Linked DNA regions of Tribolium castaneum. The protein of the gene in region 1 purifies or fractionates together with the protein of each later gene. This does not show direct contact. Links are inferred from orthologs where the notes say so. Each region holds a gene or a part of one and is shown in the gene's direction. Other genes may lie near its edges. The genes, in order: Pop1, Pop4 and Rpp30.

Region 1 (4,230 bases):
AGTTTGTACTTTACAAGGTACGGTATTTCATTTTTTATAATTTCTAGTTTGCATAAACCGTCTAGATCTTTCAAATTGCTCAAATCCAATGGCATCCGATTATTTAAATTGGCATTAACGTCTAATGTGTTCGAAAATATGTTCGATAAATACGACGAACTAGGTTGAACAGAGTTAAAGTTTCCACATTGCAAAAAATCGATTTCTCTCTTAACATCCCTAAAATTAAATATAAAAAAATGTGTATTTAAGCACTTATAAAGTTCAAAATCATTTTTTATACAGAATAACCCATTAAAACAAGCCACACGAGTTTTTATTTTTTTTAAGATTTTCCTAATAGAAACATAGGTTGATTTAATATATGAATTATGTTGGTGTTAAAATTTATTTTGCGATTAACCCGTGAATCAAAGCATCTGATTGAAATTACTCTTAAACAGAGTGTCTCTACAACGCTTTGAACCCGAAATTCGCCAATTTTGAGACATTCTGTAGGTATAATAACTTGTTACATTGGTGAGTTACGTCTGTGAATTTTACGCAAGATGTTTATCTCAGAACTTTGAAAACATCATTTTTAGACTTACGTATACCTTTTTTACACTCACTGAAACAATTAAGTACTTAATTTATTATATCAGGCACTCTAAAACTAACCCCCATTGCTATGTGGTAGAAATAATGATAATAGTTAAATAAAGTTTGTATGGGACGCTAATGCTCTAATAAACAAAACAATTCCAAAATAAGTGAATTTTAATCTGCTTTTGTCTATGGCTTTTGTTAAAACAGAAGTCACAAATGAAGTTGCGATGTGTGTCTTAAAACTGTATTTCCAAAATTCGCTTTTTTGGGGCTTGTTGTACTCACCCATTATTCTCCTTGTCGAATTTTAAGAAATCTGCGTTCAAGTTTAGCTGATCCATTTCTTATAATTCCAATTTAAAGCAATTAGAAGAGCTTGAAGGAACTTTTGTAACTAATGCAAACAGATTTTTCACAAAAACTACTCACATAGTCAAAAGCACACTTTATCAAGTAATAATAAAAAACAAACAATCATTTCAATCAGAAAATTTAAACGTTTAAATTTTTGAAAAAATTTAAACACAAAAACAGGCTAGTGAATGTATTTTGTTTAAAAAATTGTTAAAAATTGAATGTTGATGGATTTTCATTTGACTAATTATGGACAAACTGTCATAGCTTTCTAGATTCAAGTGAACAATATTCATAAATTTGCGATAATGATTTAAATTCAGCTTAAAACATTATTTTAGTATCAATGCCAAGAAAACCATTTTAAATTTTGAATTGAATGGAAAGTAAGACTCATGCGCACAAAATTCTATTTTTTTTATAAACGACTGCAGCGTCACCTGACGATTAAAACTAGCAAAGGTATTTTTTTGTTTTAAAGCTACGCGGTAAATTTGAATGATTCTCTCAATTTTTACATTAAAATGTGATAAGTGCGAATTTACTTTCAATAATATTCATTGCTAGCTTCAGTAATTAGCGCCTGGAAGGTATGTCAAGATTACAAACCAGTGTCACAATTTTTGAGGTTACGTTCAAGTCAAAAATGTGGTGATTTTAGCGTCAAAACCATGATTGACGAAGAAGCCCAATATGACGCCCTTCTGGGGGGCTCCGAGGAGCTCCCTTCGAACATCTCCTTATCGAAATTCGTGGCTTGCCGCAGCCAAGAAATCCAAATCATGAAAAACTCCCTCCTGACCCAAACCGGCTCAAAACTGGCCTTCCAAACTCTACCGAAACACATGAGACGCCGGGCAATGTCCCACAACGTCAAAAGACTACCACGGCGTCTCCGCCAAATCCATTTAAACCAAATGAAAAAATCCGGAATGCCAACGCAACAGAAGCGCCCCTCTCGCAAATACCGCCGAAAACCGCGAAACCTCCTCGAAGAATACACCAAAAGGGCCAATAAGAAGTACAAATGGTTGCAAACCCACATCTGGCACGCGAAACGGTTCCACATGGTGGAGAAATGGGGCTACAAGTTGCCATACCACGCTTGTGATAAGGCCTTCCGTGCCTGCTACAGGGCAATGACCCAACATTGCCTCTTACAGGACATTTCCTACTACAGTTGTGTGGAAATCCACGGCGATAAAAGCGAAATTATTGAAAAAATTAAACTCCTGTGTAAGCCAGGCGAGGGTTTAAGTATTGGGGCGAAAGCCTTTTCTGAGGGTAACCGCGAGGGTGAAATCTGTCTCTATGATTCGTTCCAAAAAGCCATCGGGAACGTCATGTTCCAGTGGCAACCCTCTATTGACGAAAAATGTAAATTGTGGTTGTGGGTTCATGCCGCTTTTTATTCAACCACGAAAAACACACTAGTTGAGTGTTTTAAAAACTGCCAGATCGAAATAAACGAACTTAGACTTGAGTTGAGCAGATTTAGACTCAGTGGGCCTTTATCTAATCCAGTTCTTCAAGATGCGCTTGCTTTGATCGACATTTATGATATTAAATTAGTACCAGAGTCGCCTCTTAAAAAATACATTGATTGGCCGGAGAATAAAGCAGTGATTATAAATCAGTGCGAGTTTTGGAAAAAACTAGCCTCGGTGGCATCCCTACATGAGGTTTCCCCCCACATCGTGTTACCCTTGATTGTGAAAGACCCCCGATTGAATCTTCCAAAAAAGCGCATAAAAAGTGTTTTAACTTTCGGGAAATTGGAATTTGATCAAATTCCTGTGAACATTTCCGCGAATCCTTTATGGGACAAGACCATCAGAACGTACTCAAATGAAAATAAAGTGTCTGACTCAAAAATTGTTGACTTGCAAAGTGGTTTACTAGTCCCGGGGTCTGATTTAAAAGGGACCATTGGCCACATTCCAATTATCCTGATCCAAAGGCCAGGGAATAAAACCCAGAACGTTGGTTTAGGGAGTGGATGGGATGTCATCCTACCAACGGCTTGGGCCAAACCGTTTTGGATTGCCTTCGTTATGAGGGGAGCAAGGGTTGGGGGTTTGAGGGAATCAGACTCAATGCTTTACGAAATGGGAAAGTCACAGTTGCTTCACCCGGACACGGACGCAGGTTTTGAGGAAGAACTGAGACATTCAAACCAGCACAGGGTTACGTTTTTCCAAAAACCTCCAAATAAACGAATCAATTACAGTAAATTTAAAATCGCAAGTCCTTTGCTTTGCAATTGGAGGCTTTTGCTCAAGGACTGGAACAGTGGCTTTACGGGCGAATTTTCAGTCCTCAGGGACAAAAAACAGCTTCATTCGATTAATGTAAATTAATTGTCTTTGTAAAAAGTGAACTTTAAGTTTTGATTGTTTTAGGCTTTTCTCAATTCTAAGACACACCCGGTGCCACAGTGCCCCCAAAATTGCCTCATTCCTGTTAGACTTGAGTGTGAGAAGCGGGGCTCACTGGCCGAGTATGCCATTATTTGTGTCCCGAAATGTAAGAGTGATTTGAGCGAAGTTTTGTTGGAACCGAATTGCGAGGATGTAAATAAGGAAAAGCGGAAGGAATTGAGACGTGCACATCAAAGTTTGTTGAAAAAATTGCGGAAGAAACGCAAATTAAAGTCGGAGCTTGCGGTAATGTCGGTTTGTTTTAATCGAACTTGTTGATAAGTCTGTTTTAGTCGGATGATCACAGTGAGATTTTACGCAGTTATACGGAGAAAATGAGAGCGCTGTGGCTTCCTGAGCCAACTACCATAAGGCATTCGTGTAGCAGAGAAGTTGTAGGTTTTGTTTCGAAAGGCGGTTTTAGTTTTTCGATTGGGAAAAGCGCAGGGACGGGTTATATAACTAGCGATTGTTTATCGGAGTTGGTTGATTTTAGAAATAAGGTTTTGTTGAGGAATACTAATTCTCGGCAATATAAAACTGCGAATTTAAGCGTCATTGTAGAGTGACTGGCTGAATATAAATTTATTACAGGAAAACGTTTATAATTGCTATTTACAAATACATACCCACATGGGGAGGCTGCAAATGCCGAATTTTTTTGAATAAAAAATAATGCAATTTCTTATTGCTGTATAGGAATTTCCAAAATATTTTATTGGAGGCGTGCAGCCGTTTTTTAAATAATCAATTTACGGAATGGTAATAAGTGTTGTTACACTAAATTGCCGATTTACGCTCACTTTGATGAAAAAACGGGTCATAAAAAAACACAGTACTTCTCAATATTGTATTATGTGAAGTCTGG
Region 2 (3,329 bases), on another chromosome or scaffold:
CAATGATCTTTTTTGAAAAAGATAGATAATTAAAATAGCTTTCCAACGCTAATACACTTCATGGGGTTATCTCGAATAGTTCCGGAGTTATTGCTCGATAAATGTCCGGAGACCCGGAATCGACCAAAATCGCGACAAAAATTGGAAAAATCAAACATAAAAAATTGAACATATGGACGTTTTTTGGACTTTTAACAACTCTAGAGGGTTGTAAAGGCATATATAAGTCCGAAAAACTATGATAGAACGAGTTTTAAAAAAATTTAATTTTTTCACTTTCGTGAAGGTAAGTGTGTTACTCAGGAAATTTTAGCAAAAAAATCAAAATTTTAAATCTCGTGAAAAGTTGGTATAATACAGAAAATGAGCCGCTGAATTCAATGGAACAAACCGCATTGCTCTACGACCTTTAGTTTTTTAGTTATGAATTTTTTTTGTGTTAACTTTTTTTTATTTTTATTTTTTTCTCAATTACGGCTAAACTATTCCAAAAAGTGGAACTATTTTGATCCATACCTATGCAAAATGATCCGGGGAATCGATTGGCATCGAGAAAATTCCCAAATTCCGAATATTTTTTTAGTTATGAATTTTTTAAAATTTTACTAATTTTTGCTTTTATTTGCAATTTGCTCGAAAACTATTAGTCGGAGAACTATAATCTTTTTTGAAAAAAATAGATAATTGAAAGAGCTTTCCAACGATAATACACTTCATGGTGTTATCTCTAATAGTTCCGGAGCTATTGCTCGATAAATGTTCCGGGCGCCGAAAATTGACCAAAATCGCAACAAAAATTGGAAAAATCAAACATCAAAAAATCGATCAAATGGACTTTTTGTGCACTTTTAACAACTTTAGTGGGTTGTTAAGACATATAGAAGTTCATAAAAATTTGCTGGAGTGAGTTAAAAAAAAATTTTTCACTTTTATGAAGGTATATATTTGCCTTGACCAACGAAATTTTAAGCAAAAAAAATCTCAAATACTACTAATCGCACAAAAATCAGGATTTTGCTCTTAAATCATTTATATTTTTTCAATGCCTGTGATATTTTTCCGAATTTTAATTAGGAAAGGGTAGAAAAAATTTGAAAAAATTCACAAGCGACTAAAGCTTCGATCAAAAAAATTATTGATGGCTTTGGCCATAAATAGCACTGATTTCAAATAAGGTGTAGAGTGAGTGGATGTTTGAACATTTCATTATTATGCCAGATTGCTTCTCCAGTTCCTTAATTACTAATTAGTCCCAAAAATCGAATCAAACAAGGAACTTTCCGCCTGACTTCCTTTGACCTGAAAGTAGCCGACCTTTCAGACCCCGACAATAGCTAACTCTATTACCTATGCTGTTAAACAAACTGGAAACTTTTTTTATTATACTTTATCGCAACGAATCTCGACTATAACGTAACATGAAGAGACAGTTGAAGTGACATTTTGAAAATTAATCTTAGACGTGACTTGTACTTTCCTGTGCAATAGTTCAATTCGTAATGTAATGTAATAATAAAAGATGCGTCTCGTCAAAAGAAAGTTATAAATGGAAATACGTAACCCACAAAAACGCACAATTGGCGGTTCGTTCCCAGACATATCTCATCCTTTCATAATTCACTTAAAGCGGAGACAGCGGCAATTCACACGAAAAAAGAGACGCGTCTGCCAGATTTGAGAGAAAATTAACGAATTTCACATTTCGAATAATTCCGAATCAACCGCCAATTAACGAAATTAACCCAACTTTGTCAACACCGCACTTTAATAAAAATTCCGACCTTTGACACCCGAATAACAATAAAAAAAGAGAAAGTTACGGCGCTTTTACTCAAATTTAAACTTCGCGCCACTTGTGATTGACATCAGTTAACCTCGTTTTTTCCAATGGCCGGTAAATCGCTTAAAACCAGCATTTAAACGTTTTATTGCTGTTTTTCCCCCAGATTTATACACGAGCTTGCCCGACCAGTACCTCAAAAACGCCCCCGAGATCGGGGACCCCACCACCTACATCCAAAAACTGCTCCTGAAGGAACTCCCTAGAAGCGACTCCCAACAGCTACGCCACGACCTGAAATGGCAATTCCTCCTCGACAAACACCAAAGTTCGCAAAAGCGAAAAAAACCGATCCGGAAAAAGAAGACTTTTCTCACTCGAAGGGAGCGAAAAGACCTTAACATTTTAAAATTGCCAAAGTCAGACTGGGATTACAATTCACTTGAAGGGATCAGGAAAATGTGGCGTCAATACATGAGACAGAACCTGGAATTGGCCGGGCGTGCGCCCCACTGTAGTGAGCAAGACTGGGCCAACTTTTCGGCAGTTTTGGCCAAATCTGAGCTAATCGGGAGCGAGATCAAGGTGGCGCGGTCCAAGTGCCCCAGTCACGTGGGCCTGACTGGGACCGTTGTCTTGGAAACGAAAATGACGTTCCAGATCGTCACACAACAATCACAATTGAAAAGTATTTCAAGCAATAATTTTAAATCGTCTCTAAATCGCTTGATTTCAGTTATTCCAAAAAACACGTCCGTGTTCGAGTTCGTCTTGGACGCCATGAAGTTCACAGTTTTCGGCAAACACATAATGACGAAGCCCAGCGAGCGCAGCGTTAAAAAAATCAAGTCGGTGATGTTACCAGATTTGTGATTTATTTTTTGCGCTTACGCCCCAAGCTATGCTCATATTGTAATTTCGACCAAATGCCTTTACACATCTTTACAAGTCGTTCGTCCACAACAAGTGCATTTTTCGCGGTTGTGAACTCCTGATAAATTATGTTCCTGGCCAGTTTGAAGCGTTTTTGTTGAATTAAACTTAGACTAAAGTAGAGGCGACATCTGGCGGCCACAGTCGGGTCACCTAACCTCAAAGCTAGCTTCAATTGATTCACGGAGATTTTCCCGGCGATTTGGGCACAATTCGCGAAGTAGTCACCAAGGGCTGAAAAAGCCCCCCCGAGGGTGGACAACCACGACATGGCGTGGTCCAGCTCGCACCGCTCGCGCACCATTTCCACCACTCGTTCGTTCCTGAAAAAGTGTTAGCCCCCAATTTTGACACTAATTGACTCACCATTGGTAGTCAATTAGGTTGTAACGTGTCTCCAGGAGAATAAAGCTAAAGTTGCGGCTGTTTTGCGATTTTATGAAGCAAATCCGGTAGAAGCGACTTAACCTCAACTCCTTCAGCAAGTAGTGGTAGAACACGCAGTCGATTCGGAGCACACAAGGGGGGCCTTTAGTGCCGTTTTTGCCTAGTCTTAACCCGACTTGCATCATTTTTTTTGTAAATTCATCGTAATAAACTGGTGACACTTTAGGTT
Region 3 (3,633 bases), on another chromosome or scaffold:
ATTGGGAATAATAAATGTTCCAAAGTTTTAATCAACCACCACAAGAAATTATCACACCCACAGCCTTCCATTTCGGGCCACAATTCCCATGATGATGTTAGCACAATGTATGAACAAAGTGAGGGAAAATAAATAATAAATAAAGTGACGGAGGCCCATATGGGATCATTATCCTTGTAGTGTCTGAACACCACAGCACAGTCACTTGCAAACAAAAAAACATACAGTAGGAAAGAACAAACTGAAGGAATGAAATAATTTATTATAACGTCCTGTCTTGGCGTGAGTTCGTAATTTAGAAACGTTTTCCTTAAGTGAACCTTTCCTTTGTTAACACTCATTTTTAGAAAAATTCAGGTTTCTGACATGATGAGTCAAATTTTATCACACACTGAGATAATAAACCATTTCCAGCGTTATCAGTATTGATAAACATGAGTCAATTTTCATATATTGTATTTTACACTATTTTACTATAACTTAACAGATTAGTGTATTATCTGGCAGGATGTAAGTCTTCCAAGTAAACCGAATGTTTTTCCAACATTTCCGCTACAGGATCTTGTTTATTACATTCCGGGTCATATTTCGCTCCCAGGGCCCATAAGGAATCTAAATCATATACAGTCCTAGCTTCGCGCGAAAATATGTGAAGGGCTATATTTCCTACAATTTCAGATAGTAAACAATTGAAAACAAAAAACAAAAATTACCTAAATCTAAAGCTAACCAATCCTTTGAATTTTCGCCTTCAAGCTTAGGGATAAGATCAGTTTTGTGCATTTTTTTCTTATAAATCATCCTAACAAACTGAGCAATTGCCTTCATATGTTTGTGTGACTTTCCAGTAACAACGCAAATGTACTCAACATACTGAATTTCTTTAGGCACCGCAGCCACAAAAATGTCTTCAGCATTTTCAGAGTGAAGCACTTCGATCAAGTCTTCAATATTATAAACACCATTGACACCTCCTTCAAAGAGACAATGTACAAAATGTTTCAAACACTAGTGATTGTAATACTCTCTAAATTAAGGCCCACAAAAGGGTCAGGTTCCTCCTCTTCAATCGCATTCACCGGATTTGCGTATTTACTCCGGTCCTCGTAAATATCGAGTATGACTTCGGAGTCTTCATCTCGAAAAATCTGGTATTTTGAGCTCATTTCGCCAAGAGGTGTCTTTGTTGTACTTTGGGATGTGTCTGGGGGTTGGGTTTTTGTACTTTTGCCAGATTTCAGTCTCCGCTGGACACAGTTTTGTAATAAATAGAGACACTGATTTTGCGGCCGCGTTTTGCTTAAAAGTCGTGTCACAAACATGGTTTTTATTAAATTAAAATAAACAAATTTAGATTTTGAACATAACCTTTCAAATTGACGTGCGTCAAAAAAACAGAGACAGATAGATTAGTTTTTAAAAATTTAGACAGAGAAGGATGACTTTTGACAGATTGTGGTAAACATGTGCTAGTGCTAGGTTAGGGATTGTTTAAAAATTTATTTTTATAAAAAAGTAGTATTACGGAACATGAAGTTGGAAGTCAGAGGTTTTTTTGATTACGGTGTCTCTGAGCATTGTTTGGACAACAACAAATATGAATCGACCATTAAATTGTTGTACGATTGTGAGTTGCAAACAATTTTATTAACAGCAAATTTCTGAGAGAAAATGTATTTCAGTCGGTTACAGGACAATAGCAATAAACCAAACAATCGATGCAAATGAATTAGAGCAGAAAAAGAAGAAGAAAAAAGGTGAACTTAGAGAAGGCCCCTCAGATTTTGTACCAGAACCCTACAAAATAACTCCACTTGAAGTAATATTTTTACCGAGATTTTGTTTAAATTAATATCAATATTGCAGGGTTACGAAGACTTAACTATTCTAAACCGCTTAACAATAATTTTTTCCAATCAAGACGTGATGCATAAAATTGTAAGTTACCCTGATAAGGTTATAAATTTGTTACATTATTATTTTAGACAAAGTCTTCACACTACAAAAAATATCACATAATCGCGGTTTTACCTGAAACGGTTCAAGCAAATGCGGTAAGATTTTCAACAAACAAAAACGGTTTAACACTTTTTTGTAGTTTGTTTGTAGCAGCTTTGAAGCAGACATATTATGCTTTCGTCCAGAGAATAAAAACCACATTAAACGTTCAAGAAAAATGTACAAGCAGCTAATAGACAGGGGCTATCATTTTGAAATACCTTACGCGCCTGCTATTGAAGACGCCGCTTTAAGGAGAAACATTATACACATGGCACATCTATATCACATTTTTATCAAGTCAAGAAATGTTATCGTGTCGAGCTTAGCCGAAAGACCTTCTTTGCTTAGGGGGCCTTATGATATCATTAATTTGTAGGTATTCTTAATTATTGGATCAAATATTTTTTAATTAGTAAATTCGCAAATACAGTTAAAGTGCGTTCGTTTAATTATGTAATTTTTCTGGTCTGACTAATGGTGGGAAAAGATGTATTTTTTGGCAGGAAGTTATAAATTATTTATGTACTTAAAAAAATTATTTAAATTGGCATTTCTACAGTTTTGAAACAGTTAATAATCAATTTTAATTTTAAGTCATTGTCACTGCAGGGGTGAAAGTTCTACAAACTAAAAAATTTGCATCGCTATCAACCTAATAATTTCTTAACGGTGCTGAGGGAGACAACTTTGTAGTAATTTTAATAAATGCAAAGCTATAAATAGGAGTAATAATACGAAATGTTTTTTTATTTTTGTAGAGGTTTAATATTTGGATTAAATGAAGAACAAGCAAAAAATTCCATAACAACTTGTGGTCGCAAAGTTTTTATCAATTCAGGTAAATTAGATACGTTTGTAGTTACAAAATAATTATTAATGTTTTAGTTGGTCGAAAACATGGTAAGGCTGTTATGTTTGCTGAAAATGTGGAAAAAGAAGAGAGTTCAAACGATTGTGAAATAATAGACTGTGTTGACGAAAGTGAAGAAGACATGGAAATTGATCAACCAGCATTAAAAAAAGTTAAACAATAAGTTTTTATTGTGTTTTTTAATTGTGTTATCAATAAAATAATTGGAGTTAAAATTGTCTTTTTTTATTATTAACAATAAAATTATGCTGCTAGAAGAGAATGTATAAATAGGTGCTGATCTAATTAGTTTTTAATTGCAGTTCTCATATTTAAATAATAAATATTCTAATTAACAGGTCTGATAAATCAATACGAGTTTTGTTGCAAAGAAAGTTTGATTGTCGCTTATGCAATCCATTGCCGGGTCTTGTAATAATCGGATATGGAGTAATTACACGTGTGTGTGCAAAATTGGCAATTTATTGATTGAAGGAGTGAGAAATTTCGAGTTTGAATTGGAACCGGAAGTGGTGTGCGGTGTAGTGGTGCGTAATTTCAAACTTGGCGCTTTGAAAGGTGGCAGCACCGTCGATCACAAGCGTAATGATAAAATGGAGTATTCATTTATACGTGCAGTTTATACACAAAATTTAATTAAGTGAATTCATGTATATAATCGTTGATAAGTGTAACTAATAAGTAAAATATCTCAAATACAAATGTGGTTATCAACGTAGCATAGTTTAACACTGCGGATAGGTAGTGGAAAGTGCATTTTT

What was found.
Region 2: the proteins of Pop1 (region 1) and Pop4 purify together in Homo sapiens (affinity purification with mass spectrometry; 5 studies listed by BioGRID and IntAct, counting the BioPlex papers as one, with this or other methods). This does not show direct contact. The link is inferred for Tribolium castaneum from reciprocal best matches to the Homo sapiens genes POP1 and POP4.
Region 3: the proteins of Pop1 (region 1) and Rpp30 purify together in Homo sapiens (affinity purification with mass spectrometry; 5 studies listed by BioGRID and IntAct, counting the BioPlex papers as one, with this or other methods). This does not show direct contact. The link is inferred for Tribolium castaneum from reciprocal best matches to the Homo sapiens genes POP1 and RPP30.

Annotation. Positions count from the first base shown.
Region 1 is NC_087394.1:32,928,228-32,932,457, forward strand, and holds Pop1 (ribonucleases P/MRP protein subunit POP1), read left to right. Parts: upstream 1-1,363; 5' UTR 1,364-1,532; intron 1,533-1,582; exon of another isoform or gene 1,583-1,603; 5' UTR 1,604-1,613; coding exon 1,614-3,293; intron 3,294-3,344; coding exon 3,345-3,608; intron 3,609-3,655; coding exon 3,656-3,931; 3' UTR 3,932-3,961; downstream 3,962-4,230. Other genes in the region: zinc finger protein 774, read right to left, coding at 1-219, 874-929. UniProt on the Homo sapiens protein: Component of ribonuclease P, a ribonucleoprotein complex that generates mature tRNA molecules by cleaving their 5'-ends. Also a component of the MRP ribonuclease complex, which cleaves pre-rRNA sequences.
Region 2 is NC_087401.1:15,382,752-15,386,080, forward strand, and holds Pop4 (ribonuclease P protein subunit p29), read left to right. Parts: upstream 1-1,408; 5' UTR 1,409-1,887; coding exon 1,888-1,894; intron 1,895-1,946; coding exon 1,947-2,468; intron 2,469-2,516; coding exon 2,517-2,653; 3' UTR 2,654-2,654; downstream 2,655-3,329. Other genes in the region: uncharacterized protein F58A4.6, read right to left, coding at 2,655-3,036, 3,080-3,285. UniProt on the Homo sapiens protein: Component of ribonuclease P, a ribonucleoprotein complex that generates mature tRNA molecules by cleaving their 5'-ends.
Region 3 is NC_087398.1:7,285,556-7,289,188, reverse strand, and holds Rpp30 (ribonuclease P protein subunit p30), read left to right. Parts: upstream 1-1,431; 5' UTR 1,432-1,530; coding exon 1,531-1,627; intron 1,628-1,682; coding exon 1,683-1,819; intron 1,820-1,866; coding exon 1,867-1,938; intron 1,939-1,985; coding exon 1,986-2,054; intron 2,055-2,098; coding exon 2,099-2,373; intron 2,374-2,759; coding exon 2,760-2,839; intron 2,840-2,886; coding exon 2,887-3,035; 3' UTR 3,036-3,087; downstream 3,088-3,633. Other genes in the region: uncharacterized protein LOC103313092, read right to left, coding at 1-341; uncharacterized protein LOC658939, read right to left, coding at 497-666, 714-974, 1,025-1,322. UniProt on the Homo sapiens protein: Component of ribonuclease P, a ribonucleoprotein complex that generates mature tRNA molecules by cleaving their 5'-ends. Also a component of the MRP ribonuclease complex, which cleaves pre-rRNA sequences.